Stegostoma tigrinum: one gene and its partners. The protein of the gene in region 3 interacts with the protein of the main gene of each other region in a pairwise test. Links are inferred from orthologs where the notes say so. Each region holds a gene or a part of one and is shown on either strand. Other genes may lie near its edges.

Evidence for each region.
Region 1: the proteins of wdr4 (region 3) and rabggtb interact in binary tests that used the Homo sapiens proteins (3 or more experiments, as listed by UniProt). The two-hybrid records come from large-scale screens. The link is inferred for Stegostoma tigrinum from reciprocal best matches to the Homo sapiens genes WDR4 and RABGGTB.
Region 2: the proteins of wdr4 (region 3) and protein FAM118A-like interact in binary tests that used the Homo sapiens proteins (3 or more experiments, as listed by UniProt). The two-hybrid records come from large-scale screens. The link is inferred for Stegostoma tigrinum from reciprocal best matches to the Homo sapiens genes WDR4 and FAM118A.

The regions. Positions count from the first base shown.
Region 1 is NC_081361.1:100,985,468-100,995,912, reverse strand, and holds the start of rabggtb (geranylgeranyl transferase type-2 subunit beta), read left to right. Parts: upstream 1-6,005; 5' UTR 6,006-6,086; coding exon 6,087-6,089; intron 6,090-10,445. UniProt on the Homo sapiens protein: Catalyzes the transfer of a geranylgeranyl moiety from geranylgeranyl diphosphate to both cysteines of Rab proteins with the C-terminal sequence -XXCC, -XCXC and -CCXX, such as RAB1A, RAB3A, RAB5A and RAB7A.
Region 2 is NC_081371.1:20,274,170-20,284,663, reverse strand, and holds the start of protein FAM118A-like, read left to right. Parts: upstream 1-6,108; coding exon 6,109-6,173; intron 6,174-10,494.
Region 3 is NC_081365.1:948,915-959,247, forward strand, and holds the start of wdr4 (tRNA (guanine-N(7)-)-methyltransferase non-catalytic subunit wdr4), read left to right. Parts: upstream 1-5,851; 5' UTR 5,852-5,912; coding exon 5,913-6,010; intron 6,011-6,133; coding exon 6,134-6,172; intron 6,173-10,333. UniProt on the Homo sapiens protein: Non-catalytic component of the METTL1-WDR4 methyltransferase complex required for the formation of N(7)-methylguanine in a subset of RNA species, such as tRNAs, mRNAs and microRNAs (miRNAs).

The DNA of each region.
Region 1 (10,445 bases), on a different chromosome or scaffold from region 3:
GGAGCTGGGGGAAAACGGCTGACGTTTCGGGTCTGGACCCTTATTCAGAAATGGGGGAGGGGAAGGAGATTCTGAAATAAATAGAGAGGGGAGAGGCGGGTAGAAGATGGATAAAGGAGAAGATAGGTAGAGAGGAGATAGACAGGTCAAAGAGGCGCGGATGGAGCCAGTAAGGTAAGTGTAGGTGGGGAGGTAGGGAGGAGATAGGTCAGTTCAGGGAGAAAGGACAGGTCAAGGGGGCGGGATGAGGTTAGTAGGTAGGAGGTGGGGGTGGGGCTTGAGGTGGGAGTAGGAGATAAGTGGGGGGAAGGACAGGTTAGGGAGGCAGGGACGAGCTGGGCTGGTTTTGGGATACGGTTGGGGGAGGGGAGATTTTGAATCTTGTGAAGTTCACATTGATACCATTGGGCTGCAGGGTTCCCAAGCGGAATGTGAGTTGCTGTTCCTGCAACCTTCGGGTGGCATCATTATGGCACTGCAGGAGGCCCAGGATGGACATGTCATCCAAAGATTGGGAGGGAGAGTTGAAATGGTTCGCAACTGCGAGGTGCAGTCCACCTTTCTATCACTGAAATGCTCCATCCCAGAAATATCCTGGTGAATCTCCTCTGCATCCTCTCCAGTGCAATCACATCCCTCCTACAATGTGGTGATCAGAGTCGCATACGGTACTCCAGCTGTGGCCTAACCAAAGTCCTGCACAGCTCCAAAGTGATGTCCATGCTTTTATAATCAATGCAAAGCCTGATCAAGGCAAGTATCCTGTATGTCACCTTAACTCCTCTATTAACTTGTCCTGCCACCTTCAGGGATCTGTGGACATGCATCCCATGATCCTTCTGTTCCTCTGAGCTTCCTAGTGTACTGCCATTCATTGAGTACTCTCTTGTCTTTTCTATCTGTATTGATCTGCCTATCTGACCAGACTGTTTATATCCTCACCTCTCACTTCCTACAGACTAAGGGGGTGGCCATGGGCACCCGCATGGGCCCCAGCTATGCCTGCCTCTTTGTAGGTTACGTGGAACAGTCCCTCTTCCGCACCTACACAGGCCCCAAACCCCACCTCTTCCTCCGGGACATTGATGACTGTATCGGCACAGCCTCTTGCTCCCCAGAGGAGCTCGAACAGTTCATCCACTTCACCAACACCTTCCACCCCAACCTTCAGTTCACCTGGGCCATCTCCAGCACATCCCTCACCTTTCTGGACCTCTCAGTCTCCATCTCAGGCAACCAGCTTGTAACTGATGTCTATTTCAAGCCCACCGACTCCCACAACTACCTAGAATACACCTCCTCCCACCCACCCACCCTCCTGCAAAAATTCCATCCCCTATTCCCAATTCCTCCGCCTCCGCCGCATCTGCTCCCAGAATGAGGCATTCCACTCCCGCACATCCCAGATGTCCAAATTCTTCAAGGACCGCAACTTTCCCCCCACAGTGATCGAGAACGCCCTCGACCGCGTCTCCCGTATTTCCCGCAACACGTCCCTCACACCCCGCCCCCGCCACAACCGCCCAAAGAGGATCCCCCTCGTTCTCACACACCATCCCACCAACCTCCGGATACAACGCATCATCCTCCGACACTTCCGCCATCTACAATCCGACCCCACCACCCAAGACATTTTTCCATCCCCACCCCTGTCTGCTTTCCGGAGAGACCACTCTCTCCGTGACTCCCTTGTTTGCTCCACACTGCCCTCCAACCCCACCACACCCGGCAACTTCCCCTGCAACCGCAGGAAATGCTACACTTGCCCCCACACCTCCCCCCTCACCCCTATCCCAGGCCCCAAGATGACATTCCACATTAAGCAGAGGTTCACCTGCACATCTGCCAATGTGGTATACTGCATCCACTGTACCCGGTGTGGCTTCCTCTACATTGGGGAAACCAAGTGGAGGCTTGGAGACCGCTTTGCAGAACACCTCCGCTCAGTTCGCAACAAACTACTGCACCTCCCAGTCGCAAACCATTTCCACTCCCCCTCCCATTCTTTAGATGACATGTCCATTATGGGCCTCCTGCAGTGCCACAATGATGCCACCCGAAGGTTGCAGGAACAGCAACTCATATTCTGCCCGGGAACCCTGCAGCCTAATGGTATCAATGTGGACTTCACCAGTTTCAAAATCTCCCCTTCCCCAACTGCATCCCTAAACCAGCCCAGTTCGTCCCCTCCCCCCACTGCAACACACAACCAGCCCAGCTCTTCCACTCCACCCACTGCATCCCAAAACTAGTCCAACCTGTCTCTGCCTCCCTAACCGGTTCTTCCTCTCACCCATCCCTTCCTCCCACCCCAAGCCGCACCCCCATCTACCTACTAACCTCATCCCACCTCCTTGACCTGTCCGTCTTCCCTGGACTGACCTATCCCCTCCCTACCTCCCCACCTATACTCTCTCCACCTATCTTCTTTTCTCTCCATCTTCGGTCCGCCTCCCCCTCTCTCCCTATTTATTCTAGAACCATCACCCCATTCCCCCTCTCTGATGAAGGGTCTAGGCCTGAAACGTCAGCTTTTGTGCTCCTGAGATGCTGCTTGGCCTGCTGTGTTCATCCAGCCTCACATTTTGTTGTTTATATCCTCCTGTAGCTTAACACCTTCCTCCTCACCATCAGTCACTTGGCCAATCTTTGTGTCAATTACAAGCCTGCATATCATCTCTCCCACATTCTCATCTACATTATTTATGAATATCACAAACAATAGTGGACCCAGCACTAGATTCCTGTGGTATGCCACTCCACATTGGGCTCCAACCATTGGGGTCCAATTACACAAACAGTTTTCTACCACCACCCTCTGTCTCCTGTCATTCATTTTGCATCCTACAATCCGACCCCACCACCCAAGACATTTTTCCATTTGCATCCTACTTGCTAAGTTACATTAGATCCTGTGAGCTTTAACTTCCTTTATCAGTTTCCCATATTGGACCTTCTCAAAGGTTTTGCTGAAATCCATATTAACTCTATCATCTGCCCTACCCTCATCTACCATTTAGTCACCTCCTTGAAAATGCCACCGGATTTGTTCGGCAAATCAGTTCATTACAGGACAGATATGAATGCATTTACAAGAATGATTCCAGCAATAAGGAACTCAGTGATGAGGACAGATTAAAAAAATTCGGACTGGTTGGCTTTGATTAACAGTGGGATCGAGTTTAAGAGCCGCGAGGTTATGCTGCAGCTCTACAAAACCCTGGTGAGACCACACTTGGAATATTGTGTCCAGTTCTGGTCGCCCTATTATGGGAAAGATGTGGAGGCTTTGGAGAGGGTGCAAAGGAGGTTTATCAGGATGCTGCCTGGACTGGAGGGCTTGTTTTACGAGGAGAGGTTGACTGAGCTCGGACTTTTCTCTTTGGAGAGAAGGAGGAAGAGAGGTGACCTGATCGAGGTGTACAAGGTAATGAGAGGCATGGATAGAGTCGATAGCCAGAGACTTTTCCGCAGGGCAGGATTGACTGCCACGAGGGGTCATAGTTTTAAGGTGTTAGGAGGAAGGAGACGTCAGAGGGAGGTTCTTCACCCGTGAGTTGTGAGCACATGGAATACTTTGCCAGTGGTAGTCGTGGAAGCGGAGTCATTAGTGACATTTAAGCGACTGCTGGACATGCACATGGACAGCAGTGAATTGAGGGGAATGTAGGTTAGGTTATTTTAATTTTGGATTAGGATTATTCCATGGCACAACATCGTGGGCTGAAGGGCCTGTACTGTGCTGTACTTTTCTATGTTCTATGTTCTGTGGTTTATTCGGAGAGAAGGAAGCTGCATGGGAGATTTGTTAGAGGTTTTCAAAATCATGACTGAGCTGGACAGAGTAAATCATTTAATTTTCCTCATTGCTGAAGCCTTTTTAAAATTCATTCATCTCTGGCTAGGCCAGCATTAATTGTGCAGCCAGTTGCCCAGACGGCAGTTAAGAGTCAACCACATTGCTTTGAGTCTGGAGGCACACATCGACCAGATTATGTAAGGACGACAGATTTCCTTCCCTAAAGGATATGAGTGAGCCAGATTTTTACAACAATCGACAATGGATTTATGGTTATCGTTAAACTCCTAATTCTACTATCTGTTGTGATGTGACATGATCCTATGTATTATGGCGGCACAGTGGCTCAGTGGTTAGCACTGCAGCCTCACAGCATCAGGGACCCAGGTTTGATTCCAGCCTCAGGCGACCATCTGTGTGGAGTTCGCACCTTCTCTCCGTGTCTGCGTAGGTTTCCTCCGGTAGTCCAGTTTCCTCACACAGTCCAAAGATGTGCAGTCTAGGTGGATCGGCCACGCTAAATGGCCCGTAGTGTTCAGGGGTGTGTGGGTTATAGGGGGATGGGTCTGGGTGGGATGCTTCAAGGGGTGCTGTGGACTTGTTGGGCCGAAGGGCCTGTTTCCACACTGTAGGGAATCTAATCTATGTCTCCAAAATATCACTTGGGTATCTGGATTAACAGTCCAGCAATAGCATCACCAGGTCATTGCCTCACCGCCTGAAGCTTGTAAATCACTTCTGCACTCTTCCCAATGCATTCACATCTTGCAGCTACATTTTGAGCTGATCCATTAGTTAAAGTGTTTTCTCCATCTCCCCATGAAACAGGAGAGGGATGGGAGTTGAGAAAGCGAAAGAAAGGCAAGCAGGCAAACGATATGAAGAGATAGTAGGAACTGCCGATGCTGGACTCTGAGATAACAAAGTACGGAGCTGGATGAACACAACAGGCCAGGCAGCGTCGGAGGAGCAGGAAAGGCTGATGTTTCAGGTCTGGACCCTTCTTCAGAAATGGGGAGGGCAGGGGGCTCTGAAATAAATAGAGAGAGCGGGAGGCAATGATAGAAGATGAATAGTGGAGCAGACAGGTGGGAGAGAAGACAGAGAGGAGTTGATGATGATGCCAGTACAGGTGAGTGTGGGTAGGGAGTTGGGATGGGGGTTGGTCAATGAGGAGGGAGGGGTGGGTAGGTGGGAGTGAAGATGGACAGGTCAAGGAGGTGGGTATGAGACGAGGAGGTAGGAAGTGGGGGTGGGGGGTTGGTCAGTAAGGTGGGAGGAGCAGATCAAGGAGATTCTCCAGCATCTGCAATTCCTGCTTTCTGAAGAAGGGTTTAGGCCCAAAATGTCAGCCTTCCTGCTCCTCTGATGCTTCTTGGCCTGCTGTGTTCATCCAGCTCTACGCCTTGTTATCTCAGCTTTTCCAGCATCTGCAGTTCCTGCTATCTCAAGGAGGCAGGGACGAGCTGGGCTGGCCTTGGGATGAGGTTGGGGGAGGGGAGATTTTGAAACTGGTGAAGTCCACATTGATACCATTGGGCTGCAGGGTTCCCAAGCGGAATATGAGTTGCTGTTCCTGCAACCTTCGGGTGGCATCATTGTGGCAGTGCAGGAGGCCCATGATGGACATGTCATCTAAAGAATGGGAGGGGGAGTGGAAATGGTTTGTGACTGGGAGGTGCAGTTGTTTATTGCGAACCGAGCGTAGGTGTTCTGCAAAGCGGTCTCCAAGCCTCCGCTTGGTCTCTCTGATGTAGAGGAGGCCACACCGGGAACAGCAGATACGAATGATATGAAGGTTTTTTTTGTAAATTTTTTTTAAATAATGATGCAACTGGACCCATAATTACAATAAGAGCCACAGGAGTTAATCAAAGTCTTTAACTGGAGAAGGATCCAAATCTTTGGAACCAAACTGTTGACAAAAGAGGTAAATCGACAGGAAGCTGAAAGTGCACGAACCCAGTGAGTTGTGACAAAAGATTCCTGGTTTTCTGCCTTGAAGCCTCCAGAAGTGGTGAAAATCTGGGAATAAATGCAAGTCCGTCCTTCAGTCCTCTTAACCTTACCCTCCAACTTTTTTTTTGCCTGGTGTTGTCATTGCCATTTGCACAGATTCAAGGAGTGTCTGCTCCCGCAGTGCCCCACTCCCGCCAGCAGGAGGGGATGCTGGGCTCGCACGCAGGCGCGGTAGCGTGCAGGCAGTGACGGGGACAGCTGTGCGGGGCGGTGTCGAGGTCCTGAGTGCGGGGCAGAGCTGGTAGCCGGGCGGCGGAGCGGGAGCGGAATGGTGAGAGAGTGAGCGCGGCGGGTACCGGGGGTGGAGGGAATGTTCTGGAACCCGGCGGAGGATAGGGGGAAGTGGGGGGAGAGGAGGAAAGGTGGGGGGAATGCTCTGGAACTCGGTGGGGAGGGGGGCGGTGTGTCTTCAACTTGGTAATCCCCCACAGCAGCCCCCCCCACTCCCTCACCCACAGCAGCCCCCCCCACTCCCTCACCCACAGCAGTTCTCCCCCCCCACTCCCTCACCCACAGCAGCCCCCCCCCACTCCCTCACCCACAGCAGTTCTCCCCCCCCACTCCCTCACCCACAGCAGCCCCCCCCACTCCCTCACCCACAGCAGCCCCCCCCACTCCCTCACCCACAGCAGCCACCCCCCACTCCCTCACCCACAGCAGCCCCCCCCCCACTCCCTCACCCACAGCAGCCCCCCCCCACTCCCTCACCCACAGCAGTTCTCCCCCCCCACTCCCTCACCCACAGCAGCCCCCCCCACTCCCTCACCCACAGCAGCCACCCCCCACTCCCTCACCCACAGCAGTTCTCCCCCCCCACTCCCTCACCCACAGCAGTTCTCCCTCCCCACTCCCTCCCCAGACTATTTTCTACCCTCACCCACCCCACCCTTGATTCTGTAACCCCACATTCTCAAACAATCAATAGTCATTGAGATGTACAGCATGGAAACAGACCTTTTGGTCCAAGCTGTCTGCACTAACGAGACATCCTGAATAAATCTAGTCCCATTTGGCCCATATTCCTCTTAAACCCTTGCTTATCATGTCCCCATCCAGATGCCTTTTAAGTGTTGTAATGTATCAGCTTCCACCACTTCCTCTGGCAGCCCATTCTGTACACACTCCACCCTCTGTGCAAAGAAGTTGTCCCTCAGGTGTGCTTTTTAGGTACAGGGGCGAATTGATGTGTTTAAAGGATTCGCCGATGGTTTCATAATGCTGGAGTATTTGTATTTTGTCTCTCAGTCAGTGGTTTGAAACTTTAGTATCCGACCCTGTACAACTGTGTAGCCTGTACAGACAGATAATCTGAGCAAACACTCCCAGTGCAGAAAGAACGTTGTGCTGTCGGAGGGTCAGTGCTGAGGGAGTGCTGCTGAATCACTGAAATAGCAGTGTGATTTTTAAAAACATGGTACCTTGTTTCAAGAATTGAGTTGTTAGTACCTGTGAAGTAGTGACTGTATTTCTACATTTATAAGATAATTTCACTGAATAGCAGGAGTGGGCCATTTGAGCCGACTAAGTGATTCAATATGATCTCTGATGAAGGGTCTAGGCCCGAAACGTCAGCTTTAGTGCTCCTGAGATGCTGCTTGGCCTGCTGTGTTCATCCAGCCTCACGTTTTATTATCTTGGAATTCTTCAGCATCTGCAGTTCCCATTATCTCCAATATGATCGCTGGTGATTATCTGAATCAGTCTCCTATTCCCGTTTTCTCCACATGCTTTTGATCCCTTTAGCCCTATGAACTCTACCTAACTCCTCCTCGAAAACATTCACTGTTCTGGCTTCATCCACTATGACAGAGAATTCCACAGGCTCGCCATTCTCTTGGGGGAGAAACTCCTCTTTGTATCAGCCCAAAATGACCTACACTGTACCTTGTCTGGGATCTCTCTTCATTGGGCGCATCCTTTCTGTTTGGTGCAGTTAAAATTTTACAAGTTTATTTGAAACTTCCTCCCCACCTTTTTCAACGTGTGTGAAAATAGGGCCAACCAATCCAGTTTTTCTTCAATGTCTTGTGAATATTAGCTGTCAAGCACTTTGCAACTTTGAGAGTTCCTGATGAGATGGAAAGGAAATGAACATATTTTAAATATTCGAGATAATGGGAACTGCAGATGCTGGAGAATCCGAGATAACACAGCGTGGAGCTGGATGAACACAGCAGGCCAAGCAGCACCTTAAGAGCACAAATACTGATGTTTCAGGCCTAGACCCTTCAACAGAAAATATTGAACTTTTAACGGCTCAAAACTGCCATAGGGCAGTCCTTGATTCCTGGGATATGATAGAGTCGTACAGCATGGAACCAGATCCTTTGGCCCAACTGGTCCATACCAGCTATGTTCCCAAACTAAACTACTCCCAGTTGCCTGTGTTTGGCCATACCGCTCCAAATCTTTCCTATTCATATACTGTCCAAATGTCTTTTAAAGTTTGCGATGTACCTGCATCCACCACTTCCTCTGGTAGTTTATTCAACACATGAATGACTCGCTGTAAAAAAAAAATTGCTCCTCATGTCCCTTTAAAACTCTCTCCTCTCACTTAAAAAATATGCCCCCAGCATGCTGACTAACACCAATCTTTCTTGGACAGGTGGCTTCCATGAACATTTTCAGGTCTCTATAGTGAAGGGATTCTGATAGGAACAGGAGAAGCAATTTATTCCTTCAAGCCATGACTTACCTACTTCGATTGTTGAACCATATCCCTGAATAGTGATAATGGGAACTGCAGATGCTGGAGAATCCAAGATAATAAAATGTGAGGCTGGATGAACACAGCAGGCCCAGCAGCATCTCAGGAGCACAAAAGCTGACGTTTCGGGCCCAGACACTCTGATGAAGGGTCTAGGCCCGAAACGTCAGCTTTTGTGCTCTTGAGATGCTGCTGGGCCTGCTGTGTTCATCCAGCCTCACATTTCATCATCTCATATCCCTGAATACTTTGGTTGAATAAAATTCTACCAGCTCAGTTTAAAAATTAACAAATCAGTTGCGGTTTCCATAATCAGACCTTTGTTTGTGGAAACTTTGCAAGTCCTAGCTTTGGTGAATGTTCACTTCCAAACTCCCCAACCAAGCATTCATGGGCTGATGAGGAACATACTGACTAGATGTGAGTTTGCTCACTGAGCTGGAAGGTTTGTTCCCAGACGTTTCGTCACCTTTTTTTTTTATTTGAAAAAATATACTTTATTCATAGAATGTACAAAAAATAAAACATTTATACACCTACCCAGTCACGCAAGCCACTCCGGGTTATCCGGGGGTACGCACACCAACTAAAGGAAAAAAAACAAAACAGAAAAAAACAAAACAAAGCAAAGAAACCGCCCCGGCAGTCGTCACCCCGCACAGTCCCAGTTGGCCCCCTGACCAGTTGGGGAAGGCGCCAGCTGGGCCCAGTTACCAGATAGGATTCTTTTCCCTTTTCTGGACGAGGGGGCTCATACGGTGGTCTTTCCCCACCGCGCCTTGGCGGCGGCTGCCCCAAGCTTTAGCGCGTCCCTCAGCACGTAGACCTGGACCTTGGAGTGCGCCAGTCTGCAACACTCGGTCGGGGTCAGTTCTTTCAGCTGGCAGACCAGCAAGTTGCGGGCAGACCAAAGAGCGTCTTTCACCGCATTGATGGTCCTCCAGGCGCAGTTGATGTTGGTCTCGGTGTGCGTCCCCGGAAACAGCCCGTAGAGCACGGAGTCCCGCGTCACGGAGCTGCTCGGGACGAACCTCGACAAATACCACTGCATCCCCCTCCAGGCCTCCTGCGCATAGGCACACTCCAGAAGGAGGTGATCAACAGTCTCGTCCCCCCCGCAGCCACCTCGAGGGCAGCGTGCGGTGGTGCAGAGATTCCGGGCATGCATAAAGGATCTCACTGGCAGAGCCCCTCTCACTGCCAGCCAAGCAATGTCCTTGTGCTTGTTTGAAAGTTCTGGCGATGAGGCATTCTGCCAAACGACTTTGGCAGTCTGCGTGGGGAACCACACGACGGGATCCACCCTCTCCTTTTCCCGAAGGGTCCTGAGGATACTACGTGCTGACCACTGCCTGACGGCCTTGTGGTCAAAGGTGTTTCCTTTCAAAAATTTCTCCACGAAGGACAGGTGGTACGGAATGGTCCAACTACTCGGAGCGTTCTGCAGCAACGAGGCTAGGCCCATCCTTCGCAACACCGGGGACAGGTAGAACCTCAGTAAGTAGTGACACTTGGTGTTTGCGTACTGAGGATCTACGCACAGCTTGATGCAGCCACACACAAAGGTCGCCGTCAGGGCGAGGGTGGCGTTCGGTACGCCCTTTCCCCCATTTCCCAGGTCTTTGTACATGGTGTCTCTGCGGACCCGATCCATCCTCGACCCCCAAATGAAGTGGAAGATGGCCCGGGTGACCGCAGCGGCGCAGGTCCAGGTAATAGGCCAGGCCTGCGCCACATACAACAGTACCGAAAGCCCCTCGCACCTGACAACCAGGTTCTTACCTGTGATGGAGAGGGACCGGAGCGACCACCTGCCCAGCTTCTGCTTAAATTTGGCGATACGCTCCTCCCAAGTCTTAGTGCATGCCCCAGCTCCACCAAACCAAACACCCAGCACCTTCAGGTAGTCTGTCCTGA
Region 2 (10,494 bases), on a different chromosome or scaffold from region 3:
TGTGAACCTCAATCCCACCTACTCTAGTAGCCTGTATCTCCGTATTCTCCTCGACAACATTGTCGTTTTCTAGAGTGAATACTGTTGAAAAATATTCATTTAGCGCTTCCCCATCTCATCTGACTCCGCACGCAACTTACCACTACTATCCTTGATTGGGCCTAATCTTACTTTCATCATTCTTTTATTCCTTAAATACCTGTAGAAAGCCTTAGGGTTTACCCTGATCCTATCCGCTAACAACTTCTCATGTCTCCTCCTGGCTCTTCTGAGCTCTCTTTAGGTCTTTCCTGGGTACCTCGTAGCCCTCAAGTGCCCTAACTGAGCCTTCACATCTCATCCTAACATAAGCCACCTTTTTCCTCTTGACCAGAGATTCCACCTCCCTCGTAAACCACGGCTCCCGCACTCTACAGCTTCCTCTCTGCCTGACAGGTACGTACTTATCTAGGACACACAGGAGCTTTTCCTTGAATAAGCTCCACGTTTCTACTGTGCCCATGCCCTGTTATTTCCTTCCCCATCCTATGCTCCCTAAATCTTGCCAAATCTCATCGTAATTGCCTTTTCCCCAGCTGTAACTCTTGCCCAGTGGTATACACCTATCCCTTTCCATCACTAAAGTAAACATAACAGAATTGTGATTGCTATCACCAAAGTGCTCACCTACTTCCAAATCTAACACCTGGCCAGGCTCATTACCCAGTGCTAACAGACTGTTGCGATGTCGTTAGCCTTGCACGTATTCTTCTCAGCGACTAGTGAGTGTGAATGAAAAATAGCTCTGGCAGAACTCTAATTAGATGCTAGTGATTGACACAGGCCTCCGTGCTATAGCCGTGTCCATGAACTTAGTATTATATTGGCAAAAATGAAGGGGTATGAGGTGCCTGGACTCTTTGTTGCAGGTCCTTGCCCTTCACAGAGATGCAGGGAGTTAGGTGTGTGCCCTTCTTTTCAAAGGGAAATGTGGCTGCCTTCTTTTTCTAGAATTTAAGCAGGGGGCACTCCTCATTTAAACTGTGGCTCTAGCCCCTGAATAGAATCATCATCTCAAAATGACTCTTGAGACAGAAGGAGTCTTGCAGAGGACATTATCAAAGCTGTTTCAATACACAAGGAGAAACAAATAGCTGCCAGCTTGCTGTTCAGTTCATAGGAAAACTTTCTATCGAGACCTAATAAAAGCACCTGACTGCATTTAGGATATGTGAATAATTAAAAATATTTTGATTTTAAAGCTTCTTTTCAGATGAGCTCCTTAAATATTTGAGATGATAGTTTGGATTGTAATTTGATGTACTTGCTATAACTTTGAACTAAATTCCACATGTAGTTAATTAAATTCAATGTATGGGATTTAATATAATCTTTAGGAATGGATTAAACAGCTAACTAAAAGGTAAGAAAGAACAAGTATTAGTCGAATTGTGTTCAACGGAGCAGGACCTGGGATTACTGGGTTTGGTTAACTGAGTACTGCAGAGACTCGGGTAGTTCATACTAGACAAACATAGTCTTTAAAATGCATATTAGGAAATTTTGTCATGCAAAACATGATCAAATGTGGATTATAGAATAAACTTCCTGAAAATAAATACTCAAATCAATGGACAAGCAATTCACTATTATACTTGCATATAATGACATCTTTTTGAATAGGTGAATTGAAGTGGATAAGTTACCTTCCTCACCTTTAATTATCTTTTGACTTTTGTACAGGGACAGAAAAGGGAATAGGGATAAACCGACACACGTATATGGATAAAGTGAGTTTTATGTTTTTGACTGTCAAGAATGGCCTTTATTCTTACAAGTGAATAGAATGTAAAGGTGATCTGAGAATTTTTTTTTTTACAAACTTTTAGTCCAGAACATGTGTTTTTGCCATGTATGTCCATCTGTGGATTAACATCAATGTGGTGGTGTGAGTATTAAGAGGTTCACTATGCTGCATTATTCGTACTAGGCTGACTGAAAAGTTAAATTGCGCATAGGAAAGGAAAAGTGATGAATTGACTAAAATTTAAATCTCAGTTATTGGGGATTCTTGAAAGCCAAATTACACATATGTATGAAAGAAAGAGGAAAAAACCTGCTTGGATGCTCTTATGGATTCTACTTTATGTAGAAATTAAAAACTGTCTTTTTTAAGAGACTATCCAAAGTAAGAAATGGTTAGTAATCATCTCTCCAAAATATGTGCCAAATCTGCCCCGAAAAGCTACCAAAATGCTTGGGAAAATACTATCATTTGGCAATAGCACAAGGTTCTATTCAGGGGAATGAGCACAAGCCTAGCCTGTCCAACCTATTCATTGTCACATATTTGTCTGGTAAACCTTCACTGAACTGCTTCCAATGACTGGTCACCTTTGTTAAAGAAGGATGGCAATCATGCTCCATATAGTAATCGTTATCTCCTGACTTTTGTATTCACTATGTGACACGAGGGCACAGAGTGTACAAATGGAAGAGTGCACCTGGAAAAATAGTAAAAGGACAGAATTCCTGTCAAGCTTCTATTCCATTCGCCCAATTCCTCTGTCTGCATTGCATCTGTTCCGATGATGCCAACTTTGACATAGGTACCTCTGAAATATCCACTTTCTTTCTCAACTGCGGATTCCCGAACACCGTAGTTGACAAGGCCCTCAGTTGGGTCTAACACATCTCCCACACTTCGGCCCTCATCCCCTCTCCCACAACCGTGGTAGGGTTTCCCTTATTCGTACCAACTAAGCCCCCATCATTCACATCCAGAGGATCATTAGCCACTAAGACCACCATCTCCAGGCAGACATTCCCCTCCCCTCCCCTCCCTTGTTAGCCTTCCTCAGGGACCATTCCCTCCAAGACACCCAGGTCCACTCCTCCTTCACTCCCAAATTCTCCCCCACAGTCCCATGGCACTTTCCCCTGCAACTATAAAAGATGTAACACCTGTCCATTTACTTCCTCCTTTCACGGTTTTTAGGGCCCAGATGCACTTTCCATATGAAGCAGTGCTTTACCTGCACTTTAATCTAGTTTACTCCATTTGCTATTCACAATGTCACCAATGGCAAAATGAAGCATAGACTAGGTGATTGCTTCGGAGAACATCTATCGCAAAACAGACCCTGAGTTTCCAGTTGTCTGCCACTTCAACACACAACCTTGTACCTGCCAACATCTCTGTCTCAGGCTTGCTGTAGTGCTCCAGCAAAGTTGTGGAGCTTATGGATTCTACAGTGCAAGCTGGAAGACCAGTACCTCATTTTTCTGCTTGGGAACTCTACACCCTTCTAGAAACTCAGGTTCAACAATTTCCGGGCTTAAGCTCTCCCATGTCCATACCCCAACCCCCCATATACCAGGCCTTGTTGTCACATGGTCTACTATTACACATAACCCATTGTTAGCCATGAACAATCCCTATTAACAGCTATACATCCTCATAACCTGGTTGCTATCTACTCTGTTGTTGGTTCAATTGTCCTCTCCTCTCTGGACTCTCTCTCCACCTACTGTTTTACTTTGTACTCCCTGCCCAACGCTGTCTTCTGCATAAAAACCAACATTTTCCCAGCTGCCATTGGACCCAAAATGTTAACTCTTGATTTCTGTCCACAAATGCTGCCAGACCTGTTGAGCTTTTCCAGTAATTTTTGTTTTTTGTTTCAGAATTAAATGTGCTTAATCTGAATGCATGCTTCATTTGTCACTGGTTGGATGAAATGATGGCACTAATAGAAACAGATTAGCATGATGTGACTGCCACTACAAGTTGAGGTTATGAACTGATCTCATCTGAGTCCTGAGCTTCACTAAATATAAGGAATGGGGTAAATCTGTTTTTAAAAAAAATGAATGAGATCAGGATAGTAGTGAGCAATTATTTTACTTTAGGAGGAACGTGATTTAGAATTGGTTTGTATGGAAATAAGGAACAGCAAAAAAAGTTACCTATTGGAATTGTTTATGCCATAACAATAGATACATTGTAGGCCTGATTAAAAATAAAAACATGATGAAAACTTGTAAGAAAAATGTTACCACTTGGCAATTTGAATCATCTTGCGGATCGGAAGAATGAAATCAGCAAAAATAGTTTGGGCGATGAACTCATAGTGTATTCAGGGCAGTGTTTCTTTTAATACATTCCAGATCAATTCAGGTAGCAGCCAATTTTATACTGGGCAATGTGTAATAAAACAGAATTCATAGTTTCTTCACTATACAGGTATATCATTTATGTAAGAATCCTGAGAACTGGGATTCATAAATGCAAATAAATGCTCGGAAATAGGTTGAAAGGAGATAAGTGACAAACGTTTATGGAGATATTTCAAAACTCTGAACAAACATATTTTCCATTGAGAAACAAAGACTGAGAGACACAACATTTTTGGCAATCTAAGAAAATTAAGGGTGTTATCAAATTGAAACAAAAGATATGCAATGATACAAAGTTAAGTGATAGGATGAAGATTGAAATATTTTAGAAATAATGACCAAAAAGAGGGAAAAATTAGAATAGAAGAGAGAGCTGGCAAGAACTGCAAAAACAGTAGGAAAATAAGCTGTATGATCAAAATTAGACCATTTGGCTCATTAGTGAAACATATTCCATGAGATCATAGCTGATGTAATGATCCTCCACTCCATTTTCCTAACCTTCTATACGTATGCTATAACAGAAAATTAAGAAAGCTAATACAATTATCATTCATTGCAAGGAAATTAAATACAAAGGGAGGAAGTTATGCTTATTATATGGGGTACTCTTGATCACCTTTGTTTAAAGAAGGATGACATTCATTGAAAGCAGTTCAAAGATGGTTTACTGAACTAATAGCTGATGTGAACAGTTGGACAGCATAGGCTTATACCTATTAAAATGTTAGCAGAATAAGAAGCAATCTGGCTTTTTAAAAAAAGTCATAAGGCTTCCTGACAGAAGAGATGTGGAGAGGATGCTTTCTTTTACAAGAGAGTCTAGAACTACGGATTACCATTGAAGCACGAGATTGCCCACTTGAATGGACAGTGAGAAAGCAACTTATTTTTTCCCCACAAATGTCAGTCTTTGGAACACTCTTCCCGACAGGAACAAATATTTGGGCACTCGAGTCTGGCATTGAACCCACAAATGAATGAATGTAATCAGAAGTAGTGATTGAATCAAAGATAGTAGGAACTGCAGATGCTGAAGAATCTGAGATGACAAGGTGTAGAGCCAGATGAACACAGCAGGCCAAGCAGCATCAGAGGAGCAGGAAAGCTGATGTTTCTGGCCTAAACCCTTCTTTCTGAAGACATGTCAGCTTTCCTGCTCCTCTGCTACTTTGCCTGCTGTGTTCATCTGGCTCTACACCTTGTTATCTAGGGATTGAGTCAATCCTGATTATTTAATTTTAGTAATGCCATTAAAGGTCTCTTGTAAACTACAGTGTAAACAAATGTTCACTGTCAAGGCCGATGGGTTTTTAGAGCAGAGTGAAATAAATTGGAACAGTTTATGGGCATTGCTCATTTTCAGTTTGCTAGAGGACAATCCTCACGTTTGATTTTGGAGAACCAGAGCTAAGTTTAGAACCAAAACAGACAAGGTAGCCCTGGTAAACATTCTGATCAGATAGAGAAGGTTAAAATTTCAAACATAAAAAGGTTAGATGGGCGAGAGGGAGAAGAGTCTTAATTTAAACTGTTTGAACAAAGTGGGGAGCATCCTCTGAACCTAGTGAAAATAAGGGCACCTGTTCAAGAACTGGAAGTTTCACAAGCTAGCCAACCAGGTGAGATGGCTGATTGCCTTTACCCCAAAGAAGCCCTTTTTCTACATCTAATTCACTGAAGAAGAATTAGGTGGGAGGGTGAAAGAAAGAAGAAGAAACAGCTGAGAATGCAAAGGGGATAACCTCCTCCCACGCCAGAAAGGAAGCTTTGAAAGTAAGCAATTCCAGAAATCCCGTATGTTTCTATGTATTCCTCTGCTCGCTCTCCTTTTCTCTCTCTGCATTGAGTGTTAGCAACGTTTCTGCTTTGATTTCAAATTTTCACCGTCTGTATTTTTATTTTGGAGCACTGACAGTGGGCTAAGTTTTGTGTTGATATGTGAACAAAATGTTTTTTTTTCAGGTGCACATGGATTTAGTTCATCCTTCTCAAAACCTTGAGCAGAAGTCCAGGTAAATACCCAACAATGGAAATGAATATGACTTACAGCAAAAGGAGTGATATGATTAGTGCAGAACACAAAATTTAAAATAAATCTTCCTTGGTGAGATAGCCAAAGTCTGTAGTGCATGACTTTACTAAAGTCAAAAAAAAATGAAGGATGTAATGATTAGATCAAGCTAAATTAGATTTTACAAACAGAGTTGCTTAGCTTTTTGTTCTGGAAATAATTAAGTCAATTAGGAACCTGCAAAATAATTTTAATACATTGAGCATGGGGGAGAAAAGTCAGGAGTTCTTTGTAACAATTTGCATAATGAGTTAAGAATGCATTGTCATGATGTGAAAGAGGTTTTTTACATTCCTTTGTGGGTTGTGGGCATCTAAAGCTAGACCAGCATTTATTACACATCCCTAAGTGCCCAGAGGGTAGTTAAGAAACAACCACGTTGCCTTTGTCTGTAAGTAGGGATGGTAGATTTCCTTACCGAAAGGTAATTAGTGATCCAGATGGGTTTTTTTCCTGACAATCTGCATCAGCATCACCAATGGGCCCTGCTTTCCAGATTATTATTGAATTCAAATTCTACCATTTACTACGGCACGATTCAAATCCAGATCCCTAAGACACTAACTAGGTCTCTGGATTTTTAGTTTAGTGATGTTACCGCTAGGCCATTGCCTACCCTATTTAAAGCTAAACATCGTAAAGGAAATTAATCAGGTGACCGCCTTTTCTTGTACTAGTTAATTATTTTTTTATGTGAGCAGTTTTCAAAAATTCCTTTTTGGGGTATGGGCATGTCTGGCAAAACCAGCTTTTGTTGTCTGAGATAGCAAAGTGTGGAGCTGGATGAACACAGCAGGCCAAGCAGCATCTTAGGAGCACAAAAGCTGATGTTTTGAGCCTAGAACCTTCATCAGAAAAAGGGAATGGGGAGAGGGTTCTGAAATAAATAGGGAGAGAGGGGGAGGTGAATCAAAGATGGATGGAGGAGAAGATAGATGGAGAGGAGACAGACAAGTTAAAGGGGCGGGGATGGAGCCTGTAGAGGTTAGTATAGGTAGGGAGGGGATAGGTCAGTCCGGGGAGGACGGACAGGCCAAGGGGGTGGGATGAGGTTAGTAGATAGGAAATGGAGGTGTGGCTTGAGCTGGGAGGAGGGGATAGGTGAGAGAAAGAACAGGATATGGAGGCTGGGGCAAGCTGGGCTGGTTTTGGGATGCAGAGGGAGCTTTGAACTGAGTGGCTGGCTCGCATAGTTAAGATCCTGCCACATTAATGAGGGACTGGGGTTACATGAGGTTGGATAAAGTAAGGGTGACAGATTTTCTTTGAAGCAATCAATAATGAATAGTTGTGACAGCCACCTTTACTGTTTTTTTTTATTTCGCATTTATTTATTAACTTTAAATTTATCAGCAGCTATTGTGGATTTGAACTCTGAATTTAACACTGCCACTGTCACCACTTGCCCACCATAAGCATATGTGTATTGTGTTGATGTTTATGATCTGAGATGAAGCTTTACTTTTTAGTGTGAATTTTTCAATTGAAAATGATATTAAACTACTTGAATATGATGTCAAGACTGGAGACAGAGAGAAACATTGTTGATTTATGACCATTTGGTCAAGTTTTCCTTGTCATAATTGGAAATGTGATATCTTGGTGTACGATTTGTTCGTCACATTTTAAGTTAGATTTAATCTTCACTTGAAATATGTTACAACATAAGCTAATTCAGGTGAGCAAGTTTGGTGCATCCACCCTTAAATTGCTGAGAAATCAAGTTACTCAAATTACTGAGTTTAGAACTATTTTGTTCTTGCCTTCAAAGTGAATATGGAAAAAAAATGACAATGTGAATATGCTTTTGATAGGTATAATTCACGTGCTTCCTCCCACGCTCCATATTTTTTCAGACTCTTATGATCCGAGCTGATGTTAATGCTCAACAAGTCATATCCCAGGGTTGGTAACCTGTAACCTTTTTAACTATGTAAGTCAGTTGCTGAACACATTTATACGAATCTGCAAGTGTTCTTTGACCATGTAACATGTTTATTAAACAAAAAAAATTGAATTGTATTGGATTAGACAAAAAAGGCTATAAAGATTTCAGTGCAAGCACCTGCAAAATGTTTTGAATTCAAGATAGTCTGTTTATCCCAGCAATATCCTTATAATCTCAAATCTTAATGAAGATTCAATATTATTTCCAGAACAAAACTTCTTCCCAAAACTGGTAATATAGGAAACATAGCCGAATTATGCATGAAAAGATTCCACAAACAGCAACGTGACCGTGATCAAAAAAATCACTTTCAGGAAGCTATGGACTTGGATCTCTACATCCCTTTGCACCTGGGTGTCCTGCTATTTACTGTATAGTTTCCTCTTGCATTGACTTTTCATAATACATCACCTCAGCTTGTCCAGATTAAACTCTAATAAGAACCAAAAGAACTGCGGATGCTGTAAAATGAGGAAAGGTCACCGCACCCGAAACGCTAACTTTTTTTTCTCCTCCACAGATGCTACCAGTTCTGCTGAGCTTTTCCAGCAACTGTCTTTTTGCTCCAGATTAAACTCCATCTGTCGTTTCTTCACCCAGCTTTCTAACTGATCTGTAGCCGGTTGTATCCCTTGATAAACTTCCTCATTGTCCACAACTCCAATTTTGCACGTCCGCAAAATTACTAATTGGACAGTCTACATATTCATCTAAGCTATTTACATATATTACAAACAACCAAATTCCCAACACTGATCCTTGCGAAACACCACCTGTCAGAGAACTCCACTCATAAAAAGCTCCCCCACCACCCCTCCCCCAAAAACATGACTATTATTTGTCTTCTTTGACCAAGCCAATTTTGTATCCAATTTGCGATATTATCATGGATCCCATGCAACTTAATCTTCTGGACCAGCCCACCATGAAGGACCTTGTTGATACATTTAGTAACATCCATGTTGACAACATTCACTACCCCATTCTTATCAATCAACTTTGTCACTTCAACAAAAGAACTCCTCAAGTTTGAGAGACAAGATCTCCCCTGCACAAAGCCATTGCTATCCCTAATAAGTCGACTCTTTCCCAAATGCAAGTAAATCCTGTCCTTAAGAATTGCTTTCCAGTAATTTCCCTACCAATGATGTAAGACTCAATGATCTATAATTTCATGTGGTAACCCCGTTGTCCTTCACAAAGGAAGAATATTAGCCATAGGTGGGGTCACAAAATAGCCAAAGACCTCAGCAATTTCTAACCTGCCTCTGTCAGTATCATAGGATAAATCCTGTAAGGCTGTGGGGACGTATCTATCTCGGAGTTTTTCAAGTTACCCAACACTACCGCTTAACATCGACATACCCCAGCACATCAATGTTGCCCATCATCCTTTTACTACTTGTGAACACCGATGTAAATTACTCATTAAGGACGTAACCCACTTTCTCTTACTCTGCACCAGTTTACTCTTTTCTCCTTGACTGAATCTACCCTTTCTCCACTTAGCCTCTTTCTCGTAATATATGTATAAAATGCCTTTGGACTCTCCTTATTCTTATTCCTACTTGCAAAGGCCATTTCATGGCCCTTTCTAGTTCTCCTAATTCCTTGTTTAAGTTCTTTTCTGCTCCCTCAAGGGTCTTGTTTGATTTCAGTTTCTTAAACCTTACTTATGCTTTCTTTACCCTTTTAGACTAAGCTTTCAACATCTGTTGTCATTTATCGTGCTTGAATCTTGCCATCCTTGTATTTCATCCTCACAGGAACATGCTGGTTCTGAACTCTCATCAAATGGCCTTTAAAAGACTCGCACATATCAGATGTGGGTTAACTCTCAAATAGTCGCTCCCGATCTAATTCTCCAATTCCTGCCTAATACTGTTGTAATTAGCCTTCCTCAATTTTAGTACTTTCACCCAAGGACCAGTGTTATCCTTATCCACAACAATCTTAAAATTGACTGAATTATGATCACTGTTCCCAAAATGTTCTCCCGCAGAAACTTTGATCACCTGGTAAGGTTCATTCTCCCGTACAAAGTCAAGTACAGTCCCTTTCTTAGTTGGACTATCTACAGGTTGCTTCAAGAAACCTCCCTGGAGGCACCTAACAGGTTCTGCCCCATCTTCGCCCCTGTCAGTAAGCAAGTCCCCATCAATGTTGGGACTCTGAAATCACCCATGACAACAACCTGTTTGTTGTTGTTTTTTTGTTTCCATCTTTCCTTGATCTGCTTATATATCTGTTTGATTATCTCCTGGTTATTGCAAGGCCAATATTCTAACTCCGTAAGTGATTGCACCTATCTTAT
Region 3 (10,333 bases):
AGGAGATTGAGTAGACTAGGACTATACTCATTGGAATTTAGAAGAATGAGGGGGGGACCTTATAGGAACATTTAAGATTATGAAGGGAATAGACAAGATAGAAGCTAGGAGGTAATTTCCACAGGCGGGTGAAACTAGAACTTGGGAGCATAGCATCAAAATAAGGGGAAACAGATTTAGGACTGAGCTGGGGAGGAACCTCTCCATCCAAAGGATTGTGAATCTGTGGAATTCCCTGCTCAGTGAAGCAGTTCAGCCTCATTGAATACTTTTAAAGCAAAGAGAGATAGATTTTTGAAGAGCAAAGGAATTCAGGATTATGGCAAGCAGGTGAGCAAGTGGAGCCGAGTCCATGAGAACATGGAACATAGAACAATACAGTGCAGAACAGGCCCTTCGGCCCACGATGTTGCGCTGACCTGTGGACTAATCTAAGCACCCCCCCCACACTATCCCATCATTATCCATATGCTTATCCAAGGGCTGTTTAAATGCCCCTAATGTGGCTGAGTTAACTACATTGGCAGGGAGCGCGTTCCACACCCTTACCACTCTCTGAGTAAAGAAACTGCCTCTGACATGTCTTAAATCTATCACCCCTCAATATGTAGCTATGCCCCCTTGTACAAGCTGAAGTCATCATCCTCGGAAAAAGAGTCTCACATCAGCCATGATCTTGTTGAATACTGAAGCAGGCTCAATGGGCCAAATGGCCTACTCCTGCTCCTACTTATGTTCAAAGAGAACTGACAAGGTTGAGCTGTTTAAACTTCAAGACGAGGAATATTACAAACAAGGCAGTTAGTTAGGGGCACAGACAGACACACAGAAGCAGGGTGTTGTTGCTGTAACTTGGTTAAAGGGGGACCAAACTGACAGCTCAACATACTAGAATATGGAGTTTTCAGGCAGGATAGAGTGGGTGACAAAAATGGAGAGGGGTAGCTGTATTGATTAAAGAATCAATTACAGTTTTTCGGGGGGGTTGGGGGGAGGGTGCTGGTATATGAAGCAGGTTAACAAATAAGGCTTTATGGGTTGAGCTGAGAAATTAAAAAAGGGGCAGTCACACTGCTAGGAATACACTACAGAGCCCCAAATAATGACAGGGAGATAGAAGAACACACACGTAGACACATTTCTGCCTGTAGGAATAAGAGGGCAAGAACAGCAGGAGACTTTAAATATCCCAATAGCAGCTGGGCTATAAATGATATAAAGGGCACCGAGGGTGAAAAATTCATAGTGTGTGTCCAGGAACCTTTTTTGAAATGATACGTGACAAGCCCAATGAGTGGAGACGCAATTCTAGATTTAGTTTTGAGAAATGAAGATAGACAAGTGGGTGAAGTGAGTGTGCGACCATGCCAGGACAGTGGCTACAATTTGGCTCGTGCTCATGTTAGTGTGGGTAAGGACAGAGATAAATCAGGAAGAAAGGTTTTACACTGTGGCAATGGGGAGGTAAATGTTACAATGAGAAATGATTTGGCTGAGGTGAGGTAGACTGGACAGGACTGCTAAAGGAGAAATCAATGGTATACCGGGGGGAGGAGGCGCTAAATGTGAGATCCTTATGGCACAAAAACAGATATGTCCCCTCCAGAAATTAGAATGGAACTACCATATCTAGATCCCCATCACTGTCTAGAAAAGTACAGGGCGAGATTAAACAGAAAAAGAAAGCTCGCTCTGTAGATAGCCTGGAGGAGTATAGTAAGTACAAGGATCAAGTTTAAAAAGAAATAAGGAAATCAAAGAGACGGCATGAAAAAATATTAGCAAGCAAGACCAAGGAAAACCCAAAGATGTTTTACTGGTATATAAAGTGCAAAAGGATAGTTAAGGAAAAAGTGGAACCTACTAGAGATGAAGAGGGGAACTTGTGTGAAGATGCAGTGGGTGATGGAAAGGATTTTAGATGATTTTTTTCATCTCCACAAAGGAAATGGATGATGTGGATATAATAACCCAAGAGGAGCAGTCTGAAATATTGGACAACATTATAACACAAGAGGCAATGTTCAAGGAGTTGGAATCCTCGCAAGTAGAAAAGTTGCCAGGGCCGGATGGATTGTTCCCTGGGATGTTGAAGGTGGTCAGTGAGGAAATAGCAGGTGCTCTGAGGCTTATTTTCCAATCTTCAGTAGACACAGGCGAGGTGCTGAAGGAAAGCAAATATATTATTTAAATAGGAAAATGGCAAACAATTATAGATCAGTTAAGTTTTGTTTTGGTGGTGGGCAAATTGCTAGAATCAATCGTGAGAGGAAGGCATGGGCTGGTCTGGGAGAGCATAGCTTTGTAAGAGAAAGTCATACCTTTACAAATTTTGATTGAATTCTTTGTGGACGTGACAAGAGGATCAATGTGGATATTGTCTACATGGAGTTTAGTAAGGCATTTGACAAGATCCCACAACTAGACTGATCCAAAAGGTAAAAGCCCATGGGATCCAGGGTAATGTGTCAAATTAGATCCAAAGTTAGCTTAGTAACAGGAAACAAAGGCTAATGGTCGATGGCTGCCCTTCAGAACGGAAAGCTGTTTCACATGATGTTCCTCAGAGCTCAGTGTTGGGATACCTGCTGATATTTTATGCAGGGGTTATAGATTCAGGCTAAGTGTCAGGAGGATTAGGAGGCAAGTGAACAAAAGCTTATTTTTTAAATACAGAGGGTATTGGTTGCATGGAATTCGCTGCTCGAGTTGGTGGTGGAGGCAGAGACCCTAAACTGCTGCAAAAAGTCCCTATATCTGCACCTTAAGTGCTGTAAGCTGCAGTGCTATGGGCGCTGTGAAGGAAGGTGAGATTAGAAAGGGCTTCTGGGTATCTCTGGATCGGCATGGACAAGATGGGTCAAATGGCTCCCTCTGTGCTGTATTATTTCTATGAGTTGACAGACTTTAGTGTCCCTGAACACACATCTTTAAAGCTGGAAGGTAAAGTGATTAAACCAGTATGAGGGTTAGCTGTGTTTATAAATAGAAGGATGGAATATGAAAGTGAAGAGATTGTACTGGAAATTTACGAATCACAGATTACACCTCAGCTCGTGTATTACGTTCATTTACACCACACTTCAGCAAAGGTGTAAAAGCCTCCAAAAGGGAACAGAGTTCTGACTCATCCAGTATTCCTGTCAACTGGGATCATAAGAAGGTGGACAATCCATTCCCTCCAGGAATAACCAGAAGATTTCAAATCATTGCAAAAAGATCTAGAGAGGAGAAAGAACGTTCCTCTCAGAGAGTTGTCAGATTTGGAGCACTAGACCTGAAAAGAGTCACAGAATTATAGAATCGCTACAGTGTGGAAACAGGTCCTTTGGCCCAATAAGTCCACACCTAACCTCAGAGCATCTCACCTAGACCCATCCCCCTATAAACCCACTTAATCTACACATCCCTGAACACTATGGGCAGTTTAGAATGGCCAATCCACCTAACTTGCACATCTCTGGACTGTGGGAGGAAACCGGAGCACCTGGAGGAAGCAGACACAGGGAGAATGTGCAAACTCCACACAGACCGAGGGTCGAATTGAACCTGGGGTCCCTGGCCCTGAGAGGCAGCAGTGCTAGCCGCTGAGCCACCGTGCTGCATGCTGGTAGAAACTGATCTCAAATTCCATAAGGCAGTTGGAGAGCTTTTAGAGGATGATGAACTAACATGGCTAGGGGCAAAGAGCTCTTTCAAAGAACCAGTACTGTCCCAAAGGCAAAATGGCCACATTACGTGCTAATGTAATACTTTCTTCACCTTTCAAATGAACATATGAAGAATAAACAAACCCAGTCCATGGAGAATGGTACTAGCCACTGCCTGACAGTAACTCAATGTGGTGATGTTACTGCAGTGTTCATCCAGAGGCCCAAACAAAACAAATGGTCTACCTTATGTGAAGGGAATCTTCTGCCCTTACCTGGTCTGGCCTAGAAGTGACTCCAAACTCACAGCAAAGTGTTTGATTCTGAAGTGTCCCTTAAGTAGCCCAGCAAGCCATTTAGCTGTATTAAACTGTGGGGAAGTTGAAGGTGAAAGTTTAAGGAAGATGTGAGAAGCCAAGCTTTTTGTTGATGCCCCACATCCCACAAAAAAAGTCTCCATTTGTAAAATTGAAAGTAGATCAACATCCAAAGTATAATCTGTATTTCCAGGCCGCTAATCAGTAACAATTAACCTGAACCAATAGCTCCATGTCACTAACCTGTAACTAATAAGCCCCGGACCTGTAACCAGGCAAACGGTCTGGATTTCACATAGGTGTCCGTACAAAAAAATACTCATACATCTATGTGTCTCTTATTTTTAACTCTTGAAGTAGGCAATGCTGTTAATATTCTGCATGGTGTGTTGGCAGAGAAGGCAAAGCAAGTTTATTTTTGGTCTTTATTTATAATACCAAATGTTTTCTTGTTGGGTCTCTCAAGTGCCCAGTATGAGGCTACAATTCCTAGTTATGGACAACATTCACATTCCTTACCCTTAACTTTCTTCTTCTTTTGTGGAGCTGTAGCCTTGGTAGTGAGAGTCACTGCTTGAAACCCCGACCTCACCATCAATACCTGAAATTCCAAAATCATCAAATATTCTATTGATAAGACAATATACAATAAATCGAGGCATGTTTTAACTCTTCACTTTACAGACATGAGGACGAAGGCATGAATGCCAAATTTCAATCATAAAATTTACACGACATGGAAAAGAAACTGTTGACTGGATGTAAGTTGACTCTGGTGAAAGGTTTGCCACAGAGAAGTGAATGGCAAATGTTCGGTCCTGTTCTCTGCAAGCAAAACGAAAATGTTCAAACATTGCACCAATTTTAAATTCCCTGAGAGTGTGGAAATCTATAGTATTACATTGGCTGAGATGTTGCAATGGAGAAGGGAATCAGAATTGATTTGACCACAAATAGTCATTTTTCTCCTGAAAGTTGCTGCAACTGCTTTAATTTGCTATTCTTACATTTAATTTTGATGGGTCCAACGAAAAAAGCTGTGAAAATGCAACTCTCTGTTCAACTTCTGCACTACAAATTGAATGTTTGAAAACTTGGACATCTACATTTACATAGCACTTTTCAGGACCAGTGGACTTTTCAAACGGTCTTACAGCCAATTAAGGACATTCTGAATTGCTATCTCTGTTGTAATGTGGAATTGTCAGGGTGTCCAACTCTGATGAGGCTGGCTTTTGTGGGACGTGACCGTGATCGGCAACACCAGCAACTATGACTGCAGGGTGAGCTGGGGAGAGCGGGTTTGCTGGTGATGAGGGAGGTGAGGCGGGTGGGGGCTCTGGTGAGGGGGGTGGCTCTCACAGTGAACAACATTCCCAGTCTCCGTTTCCCAACGGCTGAGCTGAAAGAATAAAACAATCCACACCTTAAGGAGAACCGCCAGAGAATGAGGCAATCCCCGCGAAAGTCAGGCAGTTGGCCATTCTGAGAGCACAGCAAGATCCCACTAACTTCACATGACGTACTCCCTTCAGCGGAGACTGGGGACAGGCGACAAAAACCAGGAACGGCCCCATCCCCTGGAGTCACCCTCGGCGGGGGGCTCACACCGGGCCCGCCCCGGGTATTAACTGTAAACACAGGGCCGTGCCCGGTAAATGTGGGTCTGAGAGAAGCCCGCGGCCTGTCCCGCGCGCGCGCGCACACACACACACACAGGCCGCGACATGCCCCTGACACAGCCAGAGGACAGGCCAAGGCTTCAGGCTCTGTACCTGCCGCAAACCGCCGAGCCTGCATCCCCACAGCGCCGCCGCCATCTTCACATTCAGCACTGACCGAGCCTCGCCGGAAATGACCCGGACCCGACCACCGGGGACGCCGGAAATGACCCGGACCCGAATCCCGGGTACGCCGGAAGCTGGCTGGAAGTGAATAGGTGAAGATGGCGTTGGGTCGTTGCGGTTCCCTCGTGTTTCTCGGCGGCGGCGGCGGCGGCTCATCGCCTCCCCGCATCGCGGGCGTCACGCTCGGGGAGAGCGGGTAAGGAGCCGGGGCCGTGCGCTCCCACCCCTGTCAGCTGTTGTTACCGTCGGCGCTCTGTCACCTCCCGTGTTCACTGGTGTATTTATTTTTTATACTCTTCCCCCTCCCCCTCTCCCACAGGAAACCCTTTGTGTATGACATCCCCCCACAAACAGGAAGGTAAGCTCTGTCAATACAGTATCTAACTCTGCCCCCCACAAACAGGAAGGTAAGCTCTGTCAATACAGTATCTAACTCTGCCCCCCACAAACAGGAAGGTAAGCTCTGTGAATACAGTATCTGACATCCCCCCACAAACAGGAAGGTAAGCTCTGTCAATACAGTGTCTGACTCTGCCCCCCACAAACAGGAAGGTAAGCTCTGTGAATACAGTGTCTGACTGCCCCCCACAAACAGGAAGGTAAGCTCTGTGAATACAGTATCTAACTCTGCCCCCCACAAACAGGAAGGTAAGCTCTGTGAATACAGTATCTAACTCTGCCCCCCACAAACAGGAAGGTAAGCTCTGTGAATACAGTATCTAACTCTGCCCCCCACAAACAGGAAGGTAAGCTCTGTGAATACAGTATCTGACATCCCCCCACAAACAGGAAGGTAAGCTCTGTGAATACAGTGTCTGACTGCCCCCCACAAACAGGAAGGTAAGCTCTGTGAATACAGTATCTAACGCTGCCCCCCACAAACAGGAAGGTAAGCTCTGTGAATACAGTATCTAACTCTGCCCCTCACAAACAGGAAGGTAAGCTCTGTCAATACAGTGTCTGACTGCCCCCCACAAACAGGAAGGTAAGCTCTGTGAATACAGTATCTAACTCTGCCCCCCACAAACAGGTAGGTAAGCTCTGTGAATACAGTATCTATCTGCCCCCCACAAACAGGAAGGTAAGCTCTGTGAATACAGTGTCTGACTGCCCCCCACAAACAGGAAGGTAAGCTCTGTGAATACAGTATCTGACATCCCCCCACAAACAGAAAGGTAAGCTCTGTGAATACAGTATCTGACATCCCCCCACAAACAGGAAGGTAAGCTCTGTGAATACAGTGTCTGACTGCCCCCCACAAACAGGAAGGTAAGCTCTGTGAATACAGTATCTAACTCTGCCCCCCACAAACAGGAAGGTAAGCTCTGCGAATACAGTATCTGACATCCCCCCACAAACAGGAAGGTAAGCTCTGTGAATACAGTGTCTGACTGCCCCCCACAAACAGGAAGGTAAGCTCTGTGAATACAGTATCTAACGCTGCCCCCCACAAACAGGAAGGTAAGCTCTGTGAATACAGTATCTAACTCTGCCCCTCACAAACAGGAAGGTAAGCTCTGTCAATACAGTGTCTGACTGCCCCCCACAAACAGGAAGGTAAGCTCTGTGAATACAGTATCTAACTCTGCCCCCCACAAACAGGAAGGTAAGCTCTGTGAATACAGTATCTGACTGCCCCCCACAAACAGGAAGGTAAGCTCTGTGAATACAGTGTCTGACATCCCCCCACAAACAGGAAGGTAAGCTCTGTGAGTACAGTATCTAACTCTGCCCCCCACAAACAGGAAGGTAAGCTCTGTGAATACAGTATCTAACTCTGCCCCCCACAAACAGGAAGGTAAGCTCTGTGAATACAGTATCTAACTCTGCCCCCCACAAACAGGAAGGTAAGCTCTGTGAATACAGTATCTGACTGCCCCCCACAAACAGGAAGGTAAGCTCTGTGAATACAGTATCTAACTCTGCCCCCCACAAACAGGAAGGTAAGCTCTGTGAATACAGTATCTAACTCTGCCCCCCACAAACAGGAAGGTAAGCTCTGTGAATACAGTATCTGACATCCCCCCACAAACAGGAAGGTAAGCTCTGTGAATACAGTATCTAACTCTGCCCCCCACAAACAGGAAGGTAAGCTCTGTGAATACAGTGTCTGACATCCCCCCACAAACAGGAAGGTAAGCTCTGTGAATACAGTATCTAACTCTGCCCCCCACAAACAGGAAGGTAAGCTCTGTGAATACAGTATCTGACATCCTCCCACAAACAGGAAGGTAAGCTCTGTGAATACAGTATCTATCTGCCCCCCACAAACAGGAAGGTAAGCTCTGTGAATACAGTACCTATCTGCCCCCCACAAACAGGAAGGTAAGCTCTGTCAATACAGTATCTGACTGCCCCTCACAAACAGGAAGGTAAGTTCTGTGAATACAGTATCTGACTGCCCCTCACAAACAGGAAGGTAATTTCTGTGAATACTGTATCTGACTGCCCCCCACAAACAGGAAGGTAAGCTCTGTGAATACAGTATCTGACATCCCCTCACAAACAGGAAGGTAAGCTCTGTGAATACAGTGTCTTTGGAGTGTGGGATAAAACCGGACCATGAGAAGGAAACCGATGCCGACACGAGGATAATGTGCAAACTCCACACAGACAGTCCTGAGGGTAGAATCGAACCTGGGTCTCTGGCGCTGTGAGGCAGCAGTGCGAACCGCTGATCCACAGTGCCTCCATCACAGCCTGTGCCAGAAACTTGCCTTCTCCTGGAGTTTACGAGATCACAAACTGTGGAGCTGGATGAACAGAGCAGGCCAAGCAACATCTTAGTAGCGCAAAAGCTGATGTTTTGGGTTGAGACCCTTCACCAGAAAAGGGGGATGGGGAGCGGGTTCTGAAATGAATAGGGAGAGAGGGGGAGGCGGACCGAAGATGGGTAGAGGAGAAGATAGTTAGGGAGGGGATAGGTCACTTTGGGCTGTCACATCAATGAGTACCACTCACGTTTGAACATCGAGCAGTTTTTCTGCCAACTCTGGTCCGTCCTTCCCGGACTGACCTATCTCCTCCCTACCTCCCCACCTATACTCTCCTCTCCACCTATCTTCTCTATCCATCTTCGGCCTGCCTCTCTCTCCCTATTTATTTCAGAACCCTCTCCCCATTCCCCTCTCTTCTGGTTGCAGCAGCAGCGCGAGCGGGAGCTTGGAGCAGGGGCCTCTCGGGAAGCCGGTGAGTCACGGTTATTGAATCTTTAAAAAGCTTACCTCGTGAATAGGCGGAGGTACGCTGAGCAGGAGCGGACACAGGACTGGTGAGTGAGTGAGGTAATATATTTGTGGTTGCGTTACCCGAAACACTACCCTGGTAGTATCTCCCACCCATCCTCCTCCTCTAACCAAAAAAAAAGTTCTGTGTGCCTGATTGGTAAGTTAACAAGTTTATTTTTTATTCTTTTTTTTTAAGTCATGGGAAGGGAGGTCAGGGCAGTTGAATGTTCCTCCTGCAGAATGTGGGAGGTAAGGGTCACCACTAGTGTCCCTGCTGACTACATCTGCGGGAAGTGCACCCAACTCCAGCTCCTTGAAAACCGCATTAGGGAACTGGAGCTGGATGAACTTCGGATCATTCGGGAGGCAGAGGGGGTTATTGAGAGGAGTTACAGGGAGGTAGTCACTCCTCAAGTACAGGAAAAAGGCAGATGGGTTACGATCAGGGGACAGAAAGGGAACCGGCAGGCAGTGCAGGGATCCCCTGTGGCCATTCCCCTTAACAATAAGTATACCGTTTTGGATACTGTTGGGGGGGACAACTTACCAGGGGAAAGCAGTGGGGCACAGGTCTCTGGAACAGAGTCTGCCCCTACTGCTCAGAAGGGAAGGGGGAAGAGGAGCAGAGCATTAGTCATCGGGGACTCCATAGTTAGGGGGACAGATAGGAGGTTCTGTGGGGACGAGAGAGACTCACAGTTGGTGTGTTGCCTCCCAGGTGCCAGGGTGCGTGATGTCTCTGATCGTGTATTTGGGATCCTTAAGTGGGAGGGGGAGCAGCCCCAAGTCGTGGTCCACATTGGCACCAAAGACACAGGTAGGAAGAGAGATGGGAATTTAAGGCAGAAATTCAGGGAGCTAGGATGGAAGCTGAGAGCTAGGACGAACAGAGTTGTTGTCTCTGGTTTGTTGCCCGTGCCACGTGCTAGTGAGGCGAGGAATAGGGAGACAGAGGAGTTGAACACATGGCTACAAGGATGGTGCAGGAGGGAGGGTTTTGGATTCTTGGATAATTGGGGCTCTTTCTGGGGTAGGTGGGACCTCCACAAGCAAGATGGTCTTCACCTGAACCAGAGGGGTACCGATATCCTGGGGGGGAGATTTGATAAGGCTGTTCGGGTGGGTTTAAACTAATTCAGCAGGGGGATGGGCACCAAAATTATAGTTCGACTATAAAAAAGGTTCAGAGTAGGGTGGTCCAAAATGAAGTTTCAGGGAAGCAAGATGTGTCTGCTTCAATGCCAGGAGCGTCCGAAATTAGGTGGGTGAACTTGCAGCATGGGTTAGAACCT